3 linked regions of the Oryctolagus cuniculus genome follow. The protein of the gene in region 2 binds, or shares a complex with, the protein of the main gene of each other region. Links are inferred from orthologs where the notes say so. Each region holds a gene or a part of one and is shown on either strand. Other genes may lie near its edges. The genes, in order: NELFB, NELFCD and NELFA.

Evidence for each region.
Region 1: the proteins of NELFCD (region 2) and NELFB are in contact, whole or in part, in a crystal structure (PDB 8JJ6), measured with the Homo sapiens proteins. The link is inferred for Oryctolagus cuniculus from reciprocal best matches to the Homo sapiens genes NELFCD and NELFB. Residues at the interface, in XP_047296144.1 of Homo sapiens: Arg63, Ile66, Met67, Glu68, Pro69, Ile71, Phe72, Leu75, Ile89, Gln90, Leu92, Ser93, Tyr96, Thr97, Ala98, Val99, Ala100, Gln101, Thr102, Val103, Asn104, Leu105, Leu106, Trp109, Leu110, Gln112, Thr113, Gly114, Val115, Gln121; in NP_056271.3 of Homo sapiens: Met49, Leu53, Leu56, Val58, Ala59, Asn60, Gly61, Leu64, Lys65, Leu68, Thr69, Leu75, Ile78, Glu79, Phe81, Gln82, Glu84, Asn85, Gly86, Val87, Leu88, Leu89, Ser91, Leu92, Ser94, Ala95, Leu96, Pro97, Phe98, Leu99.
Region 3: the proteins of NELFCD (region 2) and NELFA are in contact, whole or in part, in a crystal structure (PDB 5L3X), measured with the Homo sapiens proteins. The link is inferred for Oryctolagus cuniculus from reciprocal best matches to the Homo sapiens genes NELFCD and NELFA. Residues at the interface, in XP_047296144.1 of Homo sapiens: Cys204, Gln205, Gln206, Leu207, Glu208, Phe210, Ser211, Leu214, Arg215, Leu218, Ala219, Ile221, Leu222, Asp223, Gly225, Glu226, Cys241, His242, Gly243, Glu244, His245, Thr246, Tyr247, Leu248, Phe249, Ala252, Met253, Ser255, Val256, Leu257; in NP_005654.4 of Homo sapiens: Leu23, Trp24, Ala25, Leu54, Leu58, Leu61, His62, Arg65, Pro88, Trp89, Met92, Val93, Ile96, Leu97, Phe100, Gly104, Ser105, Leu106, Leu108, Leu110, Asn116, Val117, Asp119, Ile120, Leu121, Glu123, Leu124, Arg125, Lys127, Val128.

What each region holds. Positions count from the first base shown.
Region 1 is NC_091432.1:237,523,417-237,528,860, reverse strand, and holds the start of NELFB (negative elongation factor B), read right to left. Parts: upstream 3,692-5,444; 5' UTR 3,421-3,691; coding exon 3,319-3,420; intron 3,237-3,318; coding exon 3,073-3,236; intron 2,348-3,072; coding exon 2,248-2,347; intron 2,018-2,247; coding exon 1,787-2,017; intron 1,246-1,786; coding exon 1,060-1,245; intron 509-1,059; coding exon 396-508; intron 297-395; coding exon 194-296; intron 104-193; coding exon 8-103; intron 1-7. Other genes in the region: protein STPG3, read right to left, coding at 4,199-4,332, 4,423-4,699, 4,785-4,873, 4,974-5,108, 5,209-5,348. UniProt on the Homo sapiens protein: Essential component of the NELF complex, a complex that negatively regulates the elongation of transcription by RNA polymerase II.
Region 2 is NC_091442.1:3,319,897-3,325,477, reverse strand, and holds the start of NELFCD (negative elongation factor C/D), read left to right. Parts: upstream 1-2,351; 5' UTR 2,352-2,411; coding exon 2,412-2,498; intron 2,499-5,581. UniProt on the Homo sapiens protein: Essential component of the NELF complex, a complex that negatively regulates the elongation of transcription by RNA polymerase II.
Region 3 is NC_091433.1:830,484-835,800, reverse strand, and holds the start of NELFA (negative elongation factor A), read left to right. Parts: upstream 1-1,638; 5' UTR 1,639-1,733; coding exon 1,734-1,943; intron 1,944-5,317. UniProt on the Homo sapiens protein: Essential component of the NELF complex, a complex that negatively regulates the elongation of transcription by RNA polymerase II.

The sequences.
Region 1 (5,444 bases), on a different chromosome or scaffold from region 2:
CCGTTACCATCTTGGGCTCCTTGAAGACCTGGCTGTCGATCATGTCCCAGGCCCCCTGGCCCAGGGCCAGCAGCCTGAGCAGCAGCAGGAGGTCAGGGCTGTCCTGTGGACAAACAGGCCACAGCTGCGCTCAGCCGGCCACAGGGCCCCGCACGCGGCCCACGCCCGCAGTCCTGGCCCGGGCTGGGCTCACCCTGGGCAGCGTCTCCTGGCCGACCAGCTCCTGCAGGTGCCGAATAGTGCTGAGCGACAGCGTGTTGATGGCAAAGGGGTCACAGAGGATCATGGACAAGTCCCTGGAAGGAAGCCGCGTGCTGGGCTGGGACGCCGGGCCCCACCCCTGCCCCCGGGAAGGCGCCCGCGGTGTGGCCCGGGCGGGGCGCGGCCGCTCTCACCCCAGGACCTGTTCCTGGCCCTTCTTCACCCCGTCCAGGAAGCCCTGCAGCTCCCGCGCCCGCTTGCTGTCCACAAAGCGCTCCCGGATGCAGGCGTCCAGGCACCAGGTGAACTGCGGGAGGACGTGTACCAGCTCAGCGTGGCCAGACCCTCCCGCCCCCACCCGGCACAGCCACGGAACAAGGGCCAGAGCCGGAGCAGGGCACAGGCAGACGGACACGGGCCAGGGCCAGGGCCAGCAGGCAGCAGAGGCACAGGCTGCCCGTCTGTGCGTCAGCTACACAGGTTCACAGAGGAAACACACAGAGGCCCGCCCCCAGCGTCCCCAGGGCACCACTGTGAGGACAGAAGGCTCCTGAGAGCCTCCATGGTGTCCCCTGTCTGGAGGGGGCGTGGCCACAGCAGTGACAAGTGGCCACAGGTGACCCAAGACCCAGGGAGCAGTCTTCAGCTGCAACAGCCACGGAAAACGAGGGAGAGGAGGGTCCAGCTCGGAGCCCCGCGCCAGGTGCCCCGCGTCACCAGCAGCAGGCCCCTGGGCTCGGGGGGGGCAGGGCCAGCACCACCGGGCTGCAGGGACAGGGGACAGCTGGGCCTGGGCGCGGCGGGGCTGCTTCCTCCACCCTACCAGGGACAGAGCTCGAGGTGGGCGTGGAGGCCGACCTTGTGGCAGGGGTCCACGGTGCAGATGTCGCCGACGTCCAGGTCGTGCAGGGACATGAGCAGCTCGGCGCGCAGGGTGCAGTAGTGCACGTTGCGCGTGCGCAGGAAGAGCGTGCGCAGGAACTGCAGCACCATGTCGTACAGCTTCACGCTGCGGCCCACCATGCGCGTCAGCGCCTGCACCACCTGCAGCACACAGCGTCAGCGCCGCCAGCCCCGGGCCGGCTCCCAGCCAGCGCCACCCGGGCCTGGCTCCGGCCACCGCCAACCCCGGGCCGGCTCCCAGCCACCGCCAACCCCGGGCCGGCTCCCAGCCAGCGCCAACCCCGGGCCGGCTCCGGCCACCGCCAACCCCGGGCCGGCTCCCAGCCACCGCCAACCCCGGGCCGGCTCCCAGCCACCGCCAACCCCGGGCCGGCTCCCAGCCAGCGCCAACCCCGGGCCGGCTCCCAGCCAGCGCCAACCCCGGGCCGGCTCCCAGCCAGCGCCAACCCCGGGCCGGCTCCGGCCACCGCCAACCCCGGGCCGGCTCCCAGCCAGCGCCAACCCCGGGCCGGCTCCCAGCCAGCGCCAACCCCGGGCCGGCTCCCAGCCAGCGCCAACCCCGGGCCGGCTCCGGCCACCGCCAACCCCGGGCCGGCTCCCAGCCAGCGCCACCCGGGCCGCGCCCGCACACCTCGCCCACGCGCCGCGCAGGCCCGGCAGCCTCCCGCCCCCGCCCGCACACCTCGCCCTGGCGCCGCGTCTTGGGCGACGGGCTGAAGAAGTTGTGCAGCACCGACAGCCCGGTGCTGAAGAGCGCGCTCTCCTTCTCCAGGATGTACTGCTTGAGCAGTGGCGACACCTCGTCCCCGAACAGCGCCTGGTTGTCCTGCCAGATCTGCCGCTTCACCTCCACGGCGCACGCGCGGTACAGCTCCTTGTCGGCCATCACCAGCTTCAGCTTCTTCTCCGGCACCTGCGCGCGAGGGGGGGGGGGCGTCAGCGGCGGGGCGGCCGCGCGCGCCCCCGGCCCCCGCCCCCCGCCCCCCTGCCCCGGCCGCCCCGCCGCTGACGCCCCCGCCCCGCCCCCGCCCCCGCCCCCGGCCGCGCGCGCCCCCGGCCCCGCCCCCGCGCGCCCCTGGCCGACCCCGCCCCCGGCCGCGCGCCCCCGCCCCCGGCCCCGGCCCGCCCCGGCCGCCCGCGCACCTTGGGCAGGTGCTTCATGACGCACATCACCACCGGCTGCAGCGACGGCATCTTCACCAGCGAGAAGCTCTTCTCCAAAAGGTCCTCCAGCTTCTTGTACCTGCGGCGGCGCGCGCTGAGCCCCCCCGCGGGGCGGGGCGGACACCGCACAAGCTGCGGGGCGACCGCCCTGGGCCGGCCCCCGGCCCGCGCCCCCCGCCCCCGCGCCTGCAGCCTCCCCGGCCCCTGCCCCACTGCCTGCCTGCAGCCCCCGGCCCCCGCCCGCGCCCACGGCCACGCGCCTGCAGCCTCCCCGGCCCCTGCCCCACTGCCTGCCTGCAGCCCCCGGCCCCCCGCCCGCGCCCCCGGCCCACGCGCCTGCAGCCACCCCAGCCCCTGCCCCACTACCTGCCTGCAGCCCCCGGCCCACGCGCCTGCAGCCACCCCAGCCCCTGCCCCACTGCCTGCCTGCAGCCCCCGGCCCACGCGCCTGCAGCCTCCCGGGCCCCTGCCACCCACTGCCTTCCTGCAGCCCCCGGCTCACGCGCCTGCAGCCACCCCAGCCCCTGCCCCACTACCTTCCTGCAGCCCCCGGCCCACGCGCCTGCAGCCTCCCGGGCCCCTGCCACCCACTGCCTTCCTGCAGCCCCCCGCCCACGCGCCTGCAGCCTCCCGGGCCCCTGCCACCCACTGCCTTCCTGCAGCCCCCCGCCCACGCGCCTGCAGCCTGGGGAGCCCCTGCCCCACTACCTGCCTGCGGCCCCCAGCCCGCGCCCCCGGCCCACGCGCCTGCAGCCTCCCCAGCCCCTGCCCCACTGCCTGCCTGCAGCCCGCGCCCGCGCCCACCTCTCCTCCGCCTTCCCCTCCGACGCGATGGCCGACACCCGCTCCAGCAGCTTGTCCCGCAGCTCGTCGAACACCGACTGGTGGAACTCCAGGCGCGGGGTCCCGTGCAGGTCCAGGAACGGGAGCGCCGACTGCAGCGAGGGCAGCAGCACGCCGTTCTCCGTCTGCGGGGCCGGGGGTCAGCGCGGGGGCCCGAGGCGGGGGTCCGCCCGCCGCCCCGGCCCCCGCCCGCGTGCCCGGCCGCACCTGGAACTGCTCGATGGCCTTGAGCGGCTCGGTGCAGTTGGTCAGCGTCTCCTTCAGGTCCTCGCCGTTGGCCACGCCCAGGTCCTGCAGCCCCGCGAACATGGCCGAGGCCCCGACCCCCGGCCGGCTCGGCGCCCCATCCCCGCCGCGCTCCGCCGGGGCCGCCGCGGGCGCCCCGGAAGCCCGCTCCCCGGGGCCTCGGGGGCCGCCCGAGCTGCGCTCCCCCGCGGCCTCCAGCTCGCCCAGGTCCCGCTCGCGGCGCGACTCTGCACCGGCCCGCGGCCGCCCACTTCCGCCCCGCACGGCCCTGGTCCGCCACCCAAAGCGCTCCCGGGAAACGCCGCCGCGGCCGCGCACGGGTTCCTGGGAGCGCCGCCCTCGGCCTGCGCGGGGGGCGGAGCCGGAGGACGCGCGAGCCGTGGGCGCGGCCCCGGCCCCGCCCACCGCACGCGGCCCCGCCCCTGCCCGGCCTCGCCCGCCGCACGCGGCCCCGCCCCGGCGCCCGGCCCCGCCCCCTCCGCGCTTCGCGTTCCGGGAGCTGGCGTTGGAGCGCCTTTCACTGCGGTGCTGCTGACCTCCCCGCAGCCTTGCCTACGCGAGCGTGCGTGGTCGAGGAGGGTGCGCGCTGCGTGCGTGCCTCCCACGGGGCGGGGCGGAGACCCGCGCGCGCTGCGGGAGCGACCCGCCGTGGTTGTCCGCGGCGGCCGGCCCACGCACCTGCAGCCACCCCAGCCCCTGCCACGCACTGCCTGCCTGCTGCCCCTCCTCCCGCACGCCCCGCGTCCCCGCCGCGCGCCGGGAGGGGCACAAGGCACAGCGCGGAGCCGGGGAACAGTACGTCTGTAATGGGGGCGCGGGCTGCCCTCGGCCACGCGGGGCCCTAGAGCGCGCAGAAGGGGCCGGTGTCGTGGCGCTTGGGTCTCCGCACGCCCTGGATGAGCGCGCCGGGCGCCGAGCGGAAGCGCGAGTCGCGAGCCCGCTCCGTGCGGTAGGCGCCGGGGCCGGGGACGCCGGCTGCGGAGAGAGGGCAAGGAGGCGCCCCGCGGACCTCAGCGCTGCGCCGCCCGGGCCCGCCGCCCAGCCCCGCCGCGCCCCGCGCCTTACCCGGGCCGGCCCGCGAGGCGGGGGCGCGCGCGCTGCGCATGGAGAAGGCGGGGGCGCGCGGGCTGCGCAGACGGTCCCCGGGGACGACGTCGTAGGTGCCGGGGTCCGGGCGCTTCTCGCCGCGAGCCCGCGCCAGAGCCTGCACCAGCGGCTGCGCCCGCGGCGGCGCGGGGCGGGCCTGGCCCTCGGGGGCCATGGCGGCGGGAAGGGGGACCCTGGCGCTGCAGGAGCGGGCGGCGGGGCCGCTGAGCGGCCGGTAGTGCGCGGGCGACGGCCACTGCGGGAGGCGGAACGCGGCTGAGGCGTGCTCCGCGCTCACGCCGCCCAGCCCCCGCGTCCCGCACCCCGCGGGCCGGCCGCACCTTGAGCTCGCGGTTGAAGTCCACCTTGTGCGTGAAGGGGCTTTCGCTCCGCAGCCACTCGGTCTGCCAGGCCCTGCGGCCGCCGCCCTCTGCGGGGGAGGGGGGCAGGGGAAGGGGCGGAGGTGGCATAGCCTGGGGTCTCCGGGCCGGGCGGGGCGGGGCGGGGCGGGGCTGGCGGCGGGGATGCACCTGGGCCGGGGTGCCTGCGTCCCAGGCTGTAGTGCGGGTGTGCGGAGCTCTCTCGCGCGGACGCGCTGGGCACCTGGTACTTGGCGGGGCCGGGCACCTCCGGGTCGGTGAGCAGCGGGGGGCGTCGCTCCAGCACTGGCCGAAGGAAGCAGCTCGGGACTGGGGCTGCCCACCAGACCCCTCCTCCCCTCGCCCCCCGATCGCCTGCGGGAGCCGAGACCCCCGCTGCACTCACACAGCTTCCTCAGGGTGGCCGCACAGGCAGTGTCCACCCCTGAGCCCAGGGCAGCCGGGACTGCCTGCTTCTGCGAGGGCCACGCCTCCTCCCAGGCCGCCCCGGGCCGCGGGCCCAGCCACAGCACCGCTGACTGGGACCTGCAAGGGAGACGGGCAGCCGCTGGCCACCCGGCCTGCCGGCGACCCTCCCAGGCCGCCCCGCCTGCCGCCCGCGGAGGTTACTGGGGCGGCCGC
Region 2 (5,581 bases):
TGGGCCTCTGCACCCACATGGGAGACCCAGATGAATCTCCTGACTCGTGGTTTCAGCATGGCCCATCTGGGGAGTGAAGCCGCAGATGTGAGATCTCTCTCTCTGCCTTTCAAATAAATGAAATTAATCTTTTTTTTTTTTTTTTTTTTGGACAGGCAGAGTGGACAGTGAGAGAGAGAGACAGAGAGAAAGGTCTTCCTTTGCCGTTGGTTCACTGCCTCCAATGGCCGCTCCGGCAGGTGCGCTGCAGCCAGAGCACCGTGCTGATCCGAAGCCAGGAGCCAGGTGCTTCCTCCTGGTCTCCCATGGGGTGCAGGGCCCAATCTTTAAAACACACAAGCAGACGGGGCCACCTGCTCTGGGCTCCCCACATCTCTGCTGTCTCTGTGTCACCTCTGCCCCGGCTGCCCCCAAGTCGGGAGGTGTAGTTCACAGCCATAGGTGCCTCCTGTGGCCTCAGACCAGGGGAGCAGGGCTCAGCCTCAGAACTGAGGAAGAGGAGCAACTGGGACAGAATCCGGCGCCCGACCGGGACTAGAACTCAGGGTGCCGGCGCCGCAGGCGGAGGATTAGCCTGGTGAGCCTCGGCGCTGGCCAGAATACACATTCTTAATTATGCCTAACTTGTGTACCCAACCTTTGCCATTCCGAGGTCTCCAAGTCTTCGGCTCTGTTTGGTCTAAGACGACTGTGGAAGCTCCGGCTCTCAGGGTTGCTACGTGCATGGCCATCTGTTCTCTTCTGCTTTCAATGTACTTGTGCCTCTGCGTCGCTGATGTGTCTGTTACAGACAGCATATTGCTGCTTTTTCACCCAGCCTGGCGCTCTCTGCCCTTTGAGAGTCTGTTCACATTCAATGGAATTCCTGGCTGGGTTCATGCTGTCATCTTGCTACTTGTTTTTTATTTTGTTCTCCCTTATTTCTGTACTTAATGTTAAATGTGTCTTTGTGGGGCCGGGGCTATGGGGGGGAACCACGGCCTGCAGTGCCCGCATCCCATATGGGCACCAGTTCATGTCCTGGCTGCTCCACTTCTGATCCAGCTCTCTGCTGTGGCCTGGGAAAGCAGTAGAAGATGGCCCAAGTCCTTGGGCCCTGCACCCACATGGGAGTCCCAGGAGAAGCTCCTGGCTCCTGCCTTTGCACCCAACTGGGGGTGGTGGTGTCAGCAGATGGAACCTCCCCCTGCCATGTAACTCTTTCAAATAAATAAATAAATCTTAAAAAAAAAAAACAACAAAAACAAAAACAGGACATCAGGATATCAAGATCTAAGAGGCAAGAACTACAGAGCCAGGGCTGGCGCCCCAGTGCAGCAGGTAAAGCCGCCGCCTGCAGTGCTGGCATCCCATATGGGCACCAGATGCACCGAATATGGACCTGCCGCTTCCCACCTCCAACAGCCTGCAAGACCTCGCCATGGAGCACTCTGCTGGCACCCCTGGTCCAGCACATCCCAGTGGGAACTTGTTCTCATCCCTTCCAGAAGCTGCCCCACCCCCCGTCTCCACGGCAGCCGCCCCGAGGCACGAGGGTGAGTAGCAACAGCATCTTCCCTGCCCTGCGCCTTGCTCCCCACCCCGGCTGCTGTACCCCAAATCCACAGCAGCCCCCAGCCCCTTCTCAGCCCACCTGCAGTCCCACCTCCTCAGCCTTCTGCGACGTCTCCTAACTATGGAAAATGGGTTGGCTGGCGCCGCGGCTCACTAGGCTAATCCTCCGCCTGTGGCACTGGCACACCCGGTTCTAGTCCCGGTCGGGGCGCCGGATTCTGTCCTGGTTGCCCCTCTTCCAGGCCAGCTCTCTGCTGTGGCCCGGGAGTGCAGTGGAGGATGGCCCAAGTGCTTGGGCCCTGCACCCCAGGGGAGACCAGGAGAAGCACCTGGCTCCTGCCTTCGGATCAGCACGGTGAGCCGGCTCCCGGTGCTGACCCCGGCTTCCCGCCAGGGAAGACCCCCGGAGGCAGCGGTCACCGCTCCAGCACTGGGAGGCCTGGATGGAGCTCCAGCTCCCGCCGCCTGGGCCCAGCCCCGGCTGTCATCAGCACCTGGGGAGTGGACAAGCGGTCGTCACATCAATTGCATTTGAGGACTCTTAGCCAACGATTAGAGTAATTCACTTTGGGGCCCAGCTGCCCGACGAGGAAACGGGTGCTCCCGGGACCGCGAGCTGAGGCGGAGCCCAGGGGCCAGCTGGAAACTTCCAGCCGCAGTCAAGGCCTCCAGGCCCGGTCCAGGCAGGGTTCCTGGACCGACCCCCGGCGGCCGCTCGGCCCCGGGCGCGCACGCCGGCCAGGCCCCGCCCCCGCCGAGGCCCCGCCCCCGCCCGGGCCCAGGCGCGCGGCCGCGGGGGCGGGGCCGGGGCCGCGCGTGCGCGCAGGCGCCGGCGCCGCGCTGGCTCGCGGGAGAGCATGGCGGGGGCCGGGCCGGGCGCCATCATGGACGAGGACTACTTCGGGAGTGCTGCCGAGTGGGGCGACGAGGCGGACGGCGGCCAGGTGAGGCGGGGCCCCGGGCGCCCCCGACGAGGGTCGTGCGTCTGCGCCGCCGCCGCGCCCGCGCGTGCGGGGAGTGCGCGCGCCCGGCCGCGCGGCCGCGGTGTCCGAGCCGCGCGCGTCGCCACCGGCCCCGCCCGCCCCGCCGCCGGCCGCGGGCCTCCGCCCCTCGCTCGCTGGACGCCGGGTGGGGGACCCGGGGCCGGCCCGGCGCCGCGGCTTCCTGCCGTGGGGGGCGCGCGGGGCCGGGCGGGCTCCGGGGCTGGCGGCCCCGAAACGCCGACGTGCGGGGGTCGGGCCCGGAGGCTCGCGTTTTTATCAGAAATAAAGCTGCGGACCGCCGGCCAGCGTCACGAGTCCAAGGCGGGACTGGGGCTTTCCGTCCTGTGTGTCGGTGATCCGCGACCCAGCCCCGCGTCGGCTCTTCGGGCTGACCGAGAGGACTCTGGCCTTGCCCGCCCGGGGCCGGGGTGCGAGGGCGGCCGCCCCCTCCCCGGCGGGGGCCTCAGACCCCTCCCAGGCCTGCTGGACGCGCGTTCGTGGAAGATGGAGTTCCAAGATCAGTTTATTGTGCTGCAGAAATAAATGTGGGGTCACCCAACAGCTTTCCATAATGCTTGTCAAGAGCCTTTTTTTTTTTTTTTAGGAATCTGCTTATTTGAGAGTCGGAGTTGAGAGAGAGAGAGATCCATCCGCTGGTTCACTCCCCACATGGCTGTAATGGCTGCAATGGCCAGAGCTGGGCCAGGCGGAAGCCAGGAGCCAGGAGCTCCACCAGGTCTCCCAGGCGGGTGCAGGGCCCAAGCACCTGGCCCGTCTTCCGCTGCTTTCCCAGGTGCATTAGCAGGGAGCTGGATCGGAAGTGGAGCAGCCGGGACTCCAACCCGGCACTGCAGACCCTGGCTTAACCTGCTGTGCCACAGCCTTTGTTTCTGAAAAAGATTATTGGGCTGGCGCCGTCCCGGCTGCTCCACTTCTGATCAGCTCTCTGCTGTGGCCTGGGAAAGCAGTGGAGGATGCCCGCGTCCTGGGCCCCTGCCCTAAATGGGAGACCCCGAAGAAGCTCCTGGACTTTGGCTTCGAATCGTCACAGCTTCGGCCATTGTGGCCATCTGGGGAGTGAACCAGCGGATGGAAGACCTCTCTCTCTCTCTCTCTCTCTCTCTCTGTAACTCAGACTTTCAAATAAATAAATAAATCTTAAAAAAAAGATTATTTATTTGAAAGACCAGTGACACACACAGAGGGAGAGGGGTCTTCCATCCGCTGGTTCACTCCCCAGACAACTACAACGAAGCCAGGAGGCAGGCTGTCTGTGCAGGTCCCCCACATGGTAGCAAGGGCCCAGTGTTTGGGCCGTCACCTGCTGCCTCCCAGGCGCTAGCTTGGGGCTGACGTTCTGTAGAAGCAGAGCAGCTGGCCTTCGCCTGCCCTCAGCGTGGGAGGCCGGCCTAGCCTGCCGTGCCACACCCTGGCCCCTCTAACTTTCTGAAGACCTCGAGTACATGAATTTCCAGAACGGCTCGCACCAAAAGAAACCTAACCCTGGCGTTCCGTTTGCTGCAGACTTTGTGGAGCCGCTGTGTGCGTGGGATCTGCAGAACTGGTGCTTGGAGGGGATGAAGTGGGTTTACTTCTGGGACAGCAGGGTGGTGGCAAGCAGCGGCCCAGCGCTGAGTGGGAAGAGGCAGGGAGAACTCGGCCCGAAGTCCCTTGGTGCTTGGCTGGCCGTGGCGGAGCGGTGGTGGTGAGGGCTGCGGGGCGGGTCCTGGAGGGCTTTACAGAGCCCTGTCCAGTGGGGCTCATCCCGGCGTTCCGGACCGGGAGTGACGAGAGCGGGTCGGACGTTGTGTTCCTCCACAGCGTCTGGGGCTTGGAGTGGAGCAGGTTGGGTCAGAGGGAGCTCATGGAGAGCAGGGGCTGGGGGCTTTGATGCATCGTCCTCCCGCACGCCCCAGATCTCACCTTACAAATGCAGAGGTGAGAGGTCATGGCCTCGGGACCTGTGCAGGGTCACACAGCTGGGGAAGGAAGGAGTGGGATCCAAACCCTGTCCCTTGTCTCCATCGTCACTCCGTCACACTGCTGACGGCTCAGAGGGCCAGGTAGCGGGGCGTGGGTGTGAGTTAGCCCAGGTCCAGGTAGGGGGGCGTGGGTGTGAGTTGGCTCAGCTCCAGGTAGGGGGGTGTGGGTGTGAGTTGACTCAGCTCCAGGTAGGGGGGCATGGGTGTGAGTTAGCTCAGCTCCAGGTAGGGGGACGTGGGTGTGAGTTGGCCCAGGTCCAGGTAGGGGGGCGTGGGTGTGAGTTGGCCCAGGTCCAGGTAGGGGGGCGTGGGTGTGAGTTAGCCCAGGTCCAGGTAGGGGGGCGTGGGTGTGAGTTAGCCCAGGTCCAGGTAGGGGGGCGTGGGTGTGAGTTAGCTCAGCTCCAGGTAGGGGGGCGTGGGTGTGAGTTAGCTCAGCTCCAGGTAGGGGGACGTGGGTGTGAGTTGGCCCAGGTCCAGGTAGGGGGGCGTGGGTGTGAGTTGGCCCAGGTCCAGGTAGGGGGGCGTGGGTGTGAGTTAGCCCAGGTCCAGGTAGGGGGGCGTGGGTGTGAGTTAGCTCAGGTCCAGGTAGGGGGGCGTGGGTGTGAGTTAGCCCAGGTCCAGGTAGGGGGGCGTGGGTATGAGTTCGCTCAGGTCCAGGTAGGGGGGCGTGGGTGTGAGTTAGCCCAGGTCCAGGTAGGGGGGCGTGGGTGTGAGTTGGCCCAGGTCCAGGTAGGGGGGCGTGGGTGTGAGTTGGCCCAGGTCCAGGTAGGGGGGCGTGGGTGTGAGGTGGCCCAGGTCCAGGTAGGGGGGGCGTGGGTGTGAGGTGGCCCAGGTCCAGGTAGGGGGGGCGTGGGTGTGAGTTGGCCCAGGTCCAGGTAGGGGGGCGTGGGTGTGAGTTAGCCCAGGTCCAGGTAGGGGGGCGTGGGTGTGAGTTAGCTCAGGCCCAGGTAGGGGGGCGTGGGTGTGAGTTAGCTCAGCTCCAGGTAGGGGGACGTGGGTGTGAGTTGACTCAGCTCCAGGTAGGGGGGCGTGGGTGTGAGTTGGCCCAGGTCCAGGTAGGGG
Region 3 (5,317 bases), on a different chromosome or scaffold from region 2:
GATGTGTGAAGACAGAGACCCATCTCCTTAACCCCCACCCCCACCCCCGGCCTCAACCGGACTGTGCGCTCAGCCCTCTGCCTCTCTGCTGAGCCGCCCGCCTGCCTGCCCAGGTAGAATCCCTCCACTCAGCCATGTAACCTCGCTCTCCCCCAGTCCGAGCGATTGTGCACTCTCTCAGGTCCTGTCTGGAGAGGTGCCCATCCGTCCTTACAGATGTCCCTGCCCTAATAAACCTTGCTATTTCCTTCCCACTACTCTCTGTCTCACACCTGAATTCTTTCTTGCGCGAAGACAGGAACCCTGCCATTTCTCCGTAACAGGCTCCGACCTCGTCCCCTGTGAACTCCCACATCTACCGTGGGACGGTCGCGATTCCGCCGTGACACCGTCACACGCGCCGGTTCCAGCCCCACCTGCTCCACGGCCGACCCAGCGCCCCGGAGGGCAGCGGAGGACCCAAGGGCTCGGGCAGTGCGCCCACGTGGGAGACCGGAAGACGCTCCCGGCTTCGGCCTGGCCCAGCCCTGGCCGTGCAGCCATTCGGGCAGCGACCGGGGATGGACCGTCTCCCCCACCCCCAGCTCTGCCTCTCAAATACGTGAAACCTTCCCCCTAAGGATCTGTGATCAAATGAAGGGATCTTCAGTGATGTCTGCATTTAACCACCAACTCATAAAAGGCCTCAGGGTCCAACAGGTGCCTCCTACGAGTCAGTGGGCCAGTGGGCGCTCAGGTGCCCGAGGGCCCAGAACCTCCTGCAGCCTCCGGACGGCCCCTGCGAGCCGAGGCCAAGTCCCGGTCTCCCCAAACCGCCCCAGAGGACTCGGGGCCTCTCTCCCCTCTGGGGGGACACGGCGGGCCTCTCTCCCCTCTGGGGGGGACACGGCGGGCCTCTCTCCCCTCGGGGGGGGGGGGACACGGCGGGCCTCTCTCCCCTCTGGGGGGGGGGACACGCGCGGGCCTCTCTCCCCTCTGGGGGGACACGCGCGGGCCTCTCTCCCCTCTGGGGGGTCACGGCGGGCCTCTCTCCCCTCTGGGGGGACACGGCGGGCCTCTCTCCCCTCTGGGGGGGGGGACACGCGCGGGCCTCTCTCCCCTCTGGGGGGACACGGCGGGCCTCTCTCCCCTCTGGGGGGACACGGCGGGCCTCTCTCCCCTCTGGGGGGGGACACGGCGGGCCTCTCTCCCCTCTGGGGGGGGGACACGGCGGGCCTCTCTTTCCTCTGGGGGGACATGCGCGGGCCTCTCTCCCCTCTGGGGGGGGACACGGCGGGCCTCTCTCCCCTCTGGGGGGGGGACACGGCGGGCCTCTCTCCCCTCTGGGGGGGGAAACGCGCGGGGCAGGGCGGCGGCGGTCAGCTCCGAGCTGGGGCCGCGAGGACCACACGGGCACTCTGGGAGGAGAAAGCGAAGGGCCGGCTGCAGACAAGAGCTGCTGTCGCCTCCCACCAGCCGCCGTGCGTGTCGCAACGCTCTCGGCAATGAGCATTCCACGGCGGCTCCTCGGCGCCCGCTGCTACGTCATCTCCCGCCGCCGTGCTGAGGCCGGCGCCATGCTGCGGTACGGAAACGTCAGGTCTGCGCCGCGGCCGCCCGCCTGTGCCTCGCTCGAGGCCCCGCCCCCTGACGTCATCGCGCGAGCCCACGGGCGCCGCCATGTTGGGGGTCCTCGCCAGGGGCGCGCAGGTGTCTGCGTAAGATGCCGGCGCGGCGGCGCGGGCTCCCCCAAGATGGCGTCCATGCGGGAGAGCGACACGGGCCTGTGGCTGCACAACAAGCTGGGGGCCACGGATGAGCTGTGGGCGCCGCCCAGCATCGCGTCGCTGCTCACGGCCGCCGTCATCGACAACATCCGCCTGTGCTTCCACGGCCTCTCGTCGGCCGTGAAGCTCAAGCTGCTGCTCGGGACCCTGCACCTCCCGCGCCGCACCGTGGACGAGGTGAGCGGGCGGCGCGCCGGCCCCGGCCGTGCCCCGACGCCCGCCGTCTGCCCTCCCGACAGACCCGCGCCTCGTACCGCCCCGGCCCTCGCGCCTGCCCTCCCCCACCCCCGCCCTCGGTTCCCCACCCCCGGCGCTGCGGACAAACGCCCCTCACGTCCCCCCCACAGCCCCCCTCACGTCCCCCTCACGTCCCCCCTCACATACCCCCCTCACGTCCCCCCTCACGTCCCCCCTCACAGCCCCCCGCCTCACGTCCCCCCTCACAGCCCCCCTCACATACCCCCTCACATACCCCCTCACATTCCCCCCTCACAGCCCCCCTCACATCCCCCCTCACATGCCCCCCTCACGTCCCCACTCACATACCCCCCTCACATACCCCCCTCACATCCCCCCTCACATGCCCCTCTCACGTCCCCACTCACATACCCCCCTCACATACCCCCCTCACGTCCCCCCTCACAGCCCCCCTCACGTCCCCCCTCACAGCCCCCCTCACATGCCCCCCTCACATACCCCCTCATCCCCCCCTCACGTCCCCCCTCACAGCCCCCCGCCTCACGTCCCCCCTCACAGCCCCCCTCACATACCCCCTCACAGCCCCCCTCACATCCCCCCTCACATGCCCCCCTCACGTCCCCACTCACATACCCCCCTCACATACCCCCTCACATACCCCCCTCACGTCCCCCCTCACAGTCCCCCCTCACATACCCCCCTCACAGCCCCCCTCACATGCCCCCCTCACATACCCCCCTCACAGCCTCCCGCCTCACATACCCCCCCTCACATGCCCCCCTCACATCCCCCCTCACATACCCCCCTCACGTCCCCACTCACATACCCCCCTCACATACCCCCCTCACATACCCCCCTCACATACCCCCCTCACATCCCCCCTCACAGCCCCCCTCACATACCCCCTCACGTCCCCCCTCACGTACCCCCCTCACATACCCCCCTCACAGCCCCCCTCACGTCCCCCCTCACGTACCCCCCTCACATGCCCCCCTCACGTCCCCCCTCACGTACCCCCCTCACATGCCCCCCTCACAGCCCCCCTCATGTCCCCCCTCACATACCCCCCTCACATACCCCCCTCACAGCCTCCCGCCTCACAGCCCCCCGCCTCACGTCCCCCCTCACAGCCCCCCTCACATACCCCCTCACATACCCCCTCACATACCCCCCTCACGTCCCCCTCACGTCCCCCCTCACAGTCCCCCCTCACATACCCCCCTCACAGCCCCCCTCACAGCCCCCCTCACATACCCCCCTCACAGCCTCCCGCCTCACATACCCCCCCTCACATGCCCCCCTCACATCCCCCCTCACGTCCCCACTCACATACCCCCCTCACATACCCCCCTCACATACCCCCTCATCCCCCCCTCACGTCCCCCCTCACAGCCCCCCGCCTCACATACCCCCCCGCCTCACGTCCCCCTCTCACATACCCCCGCCTCACATACCCCCCCCCTCACGTCCCCCCTCTCCTGGTCCCTCAGGTCTTCCCCCCACCCGCATAGCCTCGCGTCTCCCCCTACCCCGCTCCTGACTGCACCCCCATCTTCCCAGCGAGTGGCCCCTCCTGACACCCCCCTCACGCCTCCCTCCACCAAGGTGAGGGGGCGGGGGTCTTCACGGGTGGTGTGGGCTCGTGGGCCTGCGCTCGGGTCTGCGGGGGAGGGCGGGCGGGGGTCTTCACGGGCGGTGTGGGCTCGTGGGCCTGCGCTCGGGTCTGCGGGGGGGGGGCGGGCGGGGGTCTTCACGGGCGGTGTGGGCTCGTGGGCCTGCGCTCGGGTCTGCGGGGGGGGAGCGGGCGGGGGTCTTCACGGGTGGTGTGGGCTCGTGGGCCTGTGCTCGGGTCTGTGGGGGGGGGCGGGCGGGGGTCTTCACGGGCGATGTGGGCTCGTGGGTCTGCGGGGCGGCCCTGTTTCCCGCGGGACCCCGGCAGCACCTGCCTGTGCGTGCACAGATGGGGGCGGCGCCCCGTGTCCCGTGTCCCGCTGCTCCCCGCCGCATCCCCCGCCCCGGCCCGGTTCCCGCAGTGCGGTGCGTGTGGCAGTGGTGGGTGCCGGGTCGCTGGGCCATGTCCTGGAGTGTGGAGGTGCCGCCAGGCCACGTGGAGTGGCCGTGACACTCGGGAGCGGCTGTGACGTGGGGTGCCGTGGCACTCAGTGGCTTCACGGACAGTGGCACGTCAGGGGTGGCTGTGGCGTGGGGCGGCCGTGTCACTCAGGAGTGAGCATCTTTTTGCTTGCTGTTTGGTCCTTTTTTTTTTAAGATTTATTTTCTATATTTGAAAGAGTACAGAGAGCGAGCGAGCGAGCGAGCGCGGTCTTCATCCGCTGGTTCACTCCCCAGATGGCCGCCGCGGCCGGCGCACCGCGCTGATCCGATGGCAGGAGCCAGGAGCCAGGTGCTTCTCCTGGTCTCCCATGGGGTGCAGGGCCCAAGCACCTGGGCCATCCTCCACTGCACTCCCGGGCCACAGCAGAGGGCTGGCCTGGAAGAGGGGCAGGCGGGACAGGACCGGCGCCCGCATGGGGTGCCTGCGGGCGGCGGCTTTATCCCACTGCGCCGCAGCGTTAGTTGCCGGTTTTTTTTGTGAGTTGGCTTTTCAGGTCTGTTTTCCCTCGGTTCTTTGCTTGTTGTGAGTGTGATGGAAGTGGTCCTTTTTCGGTGGCGTGTGTGACAAGCAGACCTGGAGACCCCGCAGTCCTGGTCGTCAGCTGTGTGCCGGGGTGGCCCGTGCGCGCTGAGCCAGTCCCGGCCTCCGCCGCTGCGCCCCCGAGGAGTCTGGGAGGTCAGCGCCCGGGCTCAGGTGGGCCCTGGCTGTCCTTGTCCGTGCGCCGGCCACGCGTTTTCTGTCGCGGCGGGAGGTGACTGCGAAGGTGGTTCTGGGGTGCAGTGGCGCTGGCCCATCTGCCGGTGTTGTGGGTCGGGGCGATCTGAGGGATCCGGCAGCTCGTGGAGAGCCCACGCGGGAGAACACTGGGGCGCCAGCGTTTGGGTACTGAAGTGAGCTGGCGCTGACCTGCTGCGCGTGGGCAGGCGGGCCCTCGGGACAGGGCTTCAGTCTCACCGTGGAGGGACGGGGAGCTCCGAGGTGCTCTGCGGTAAGCCCCCAGGACCCCCGGTTCACGAGTGGCGACTCGGGCTGATTCTCATTCAGGACACAGGCACGGAGAGGCGGTTCTGGGCTGAATGCAGGAGTCGGGCCGCCCGCAGGCTCTGCAGGCAGGAGGCTGGCCGAGGGCGCAGAACACGGAGTGGCAGCGCAGACCGTGCGCGCCCCACGGTCCCGGGCGGCGCCCTCCCTCCTCAGCCCGCACAGCCGTGCTGGAATCAGGCGGAGCGGAGCTGGC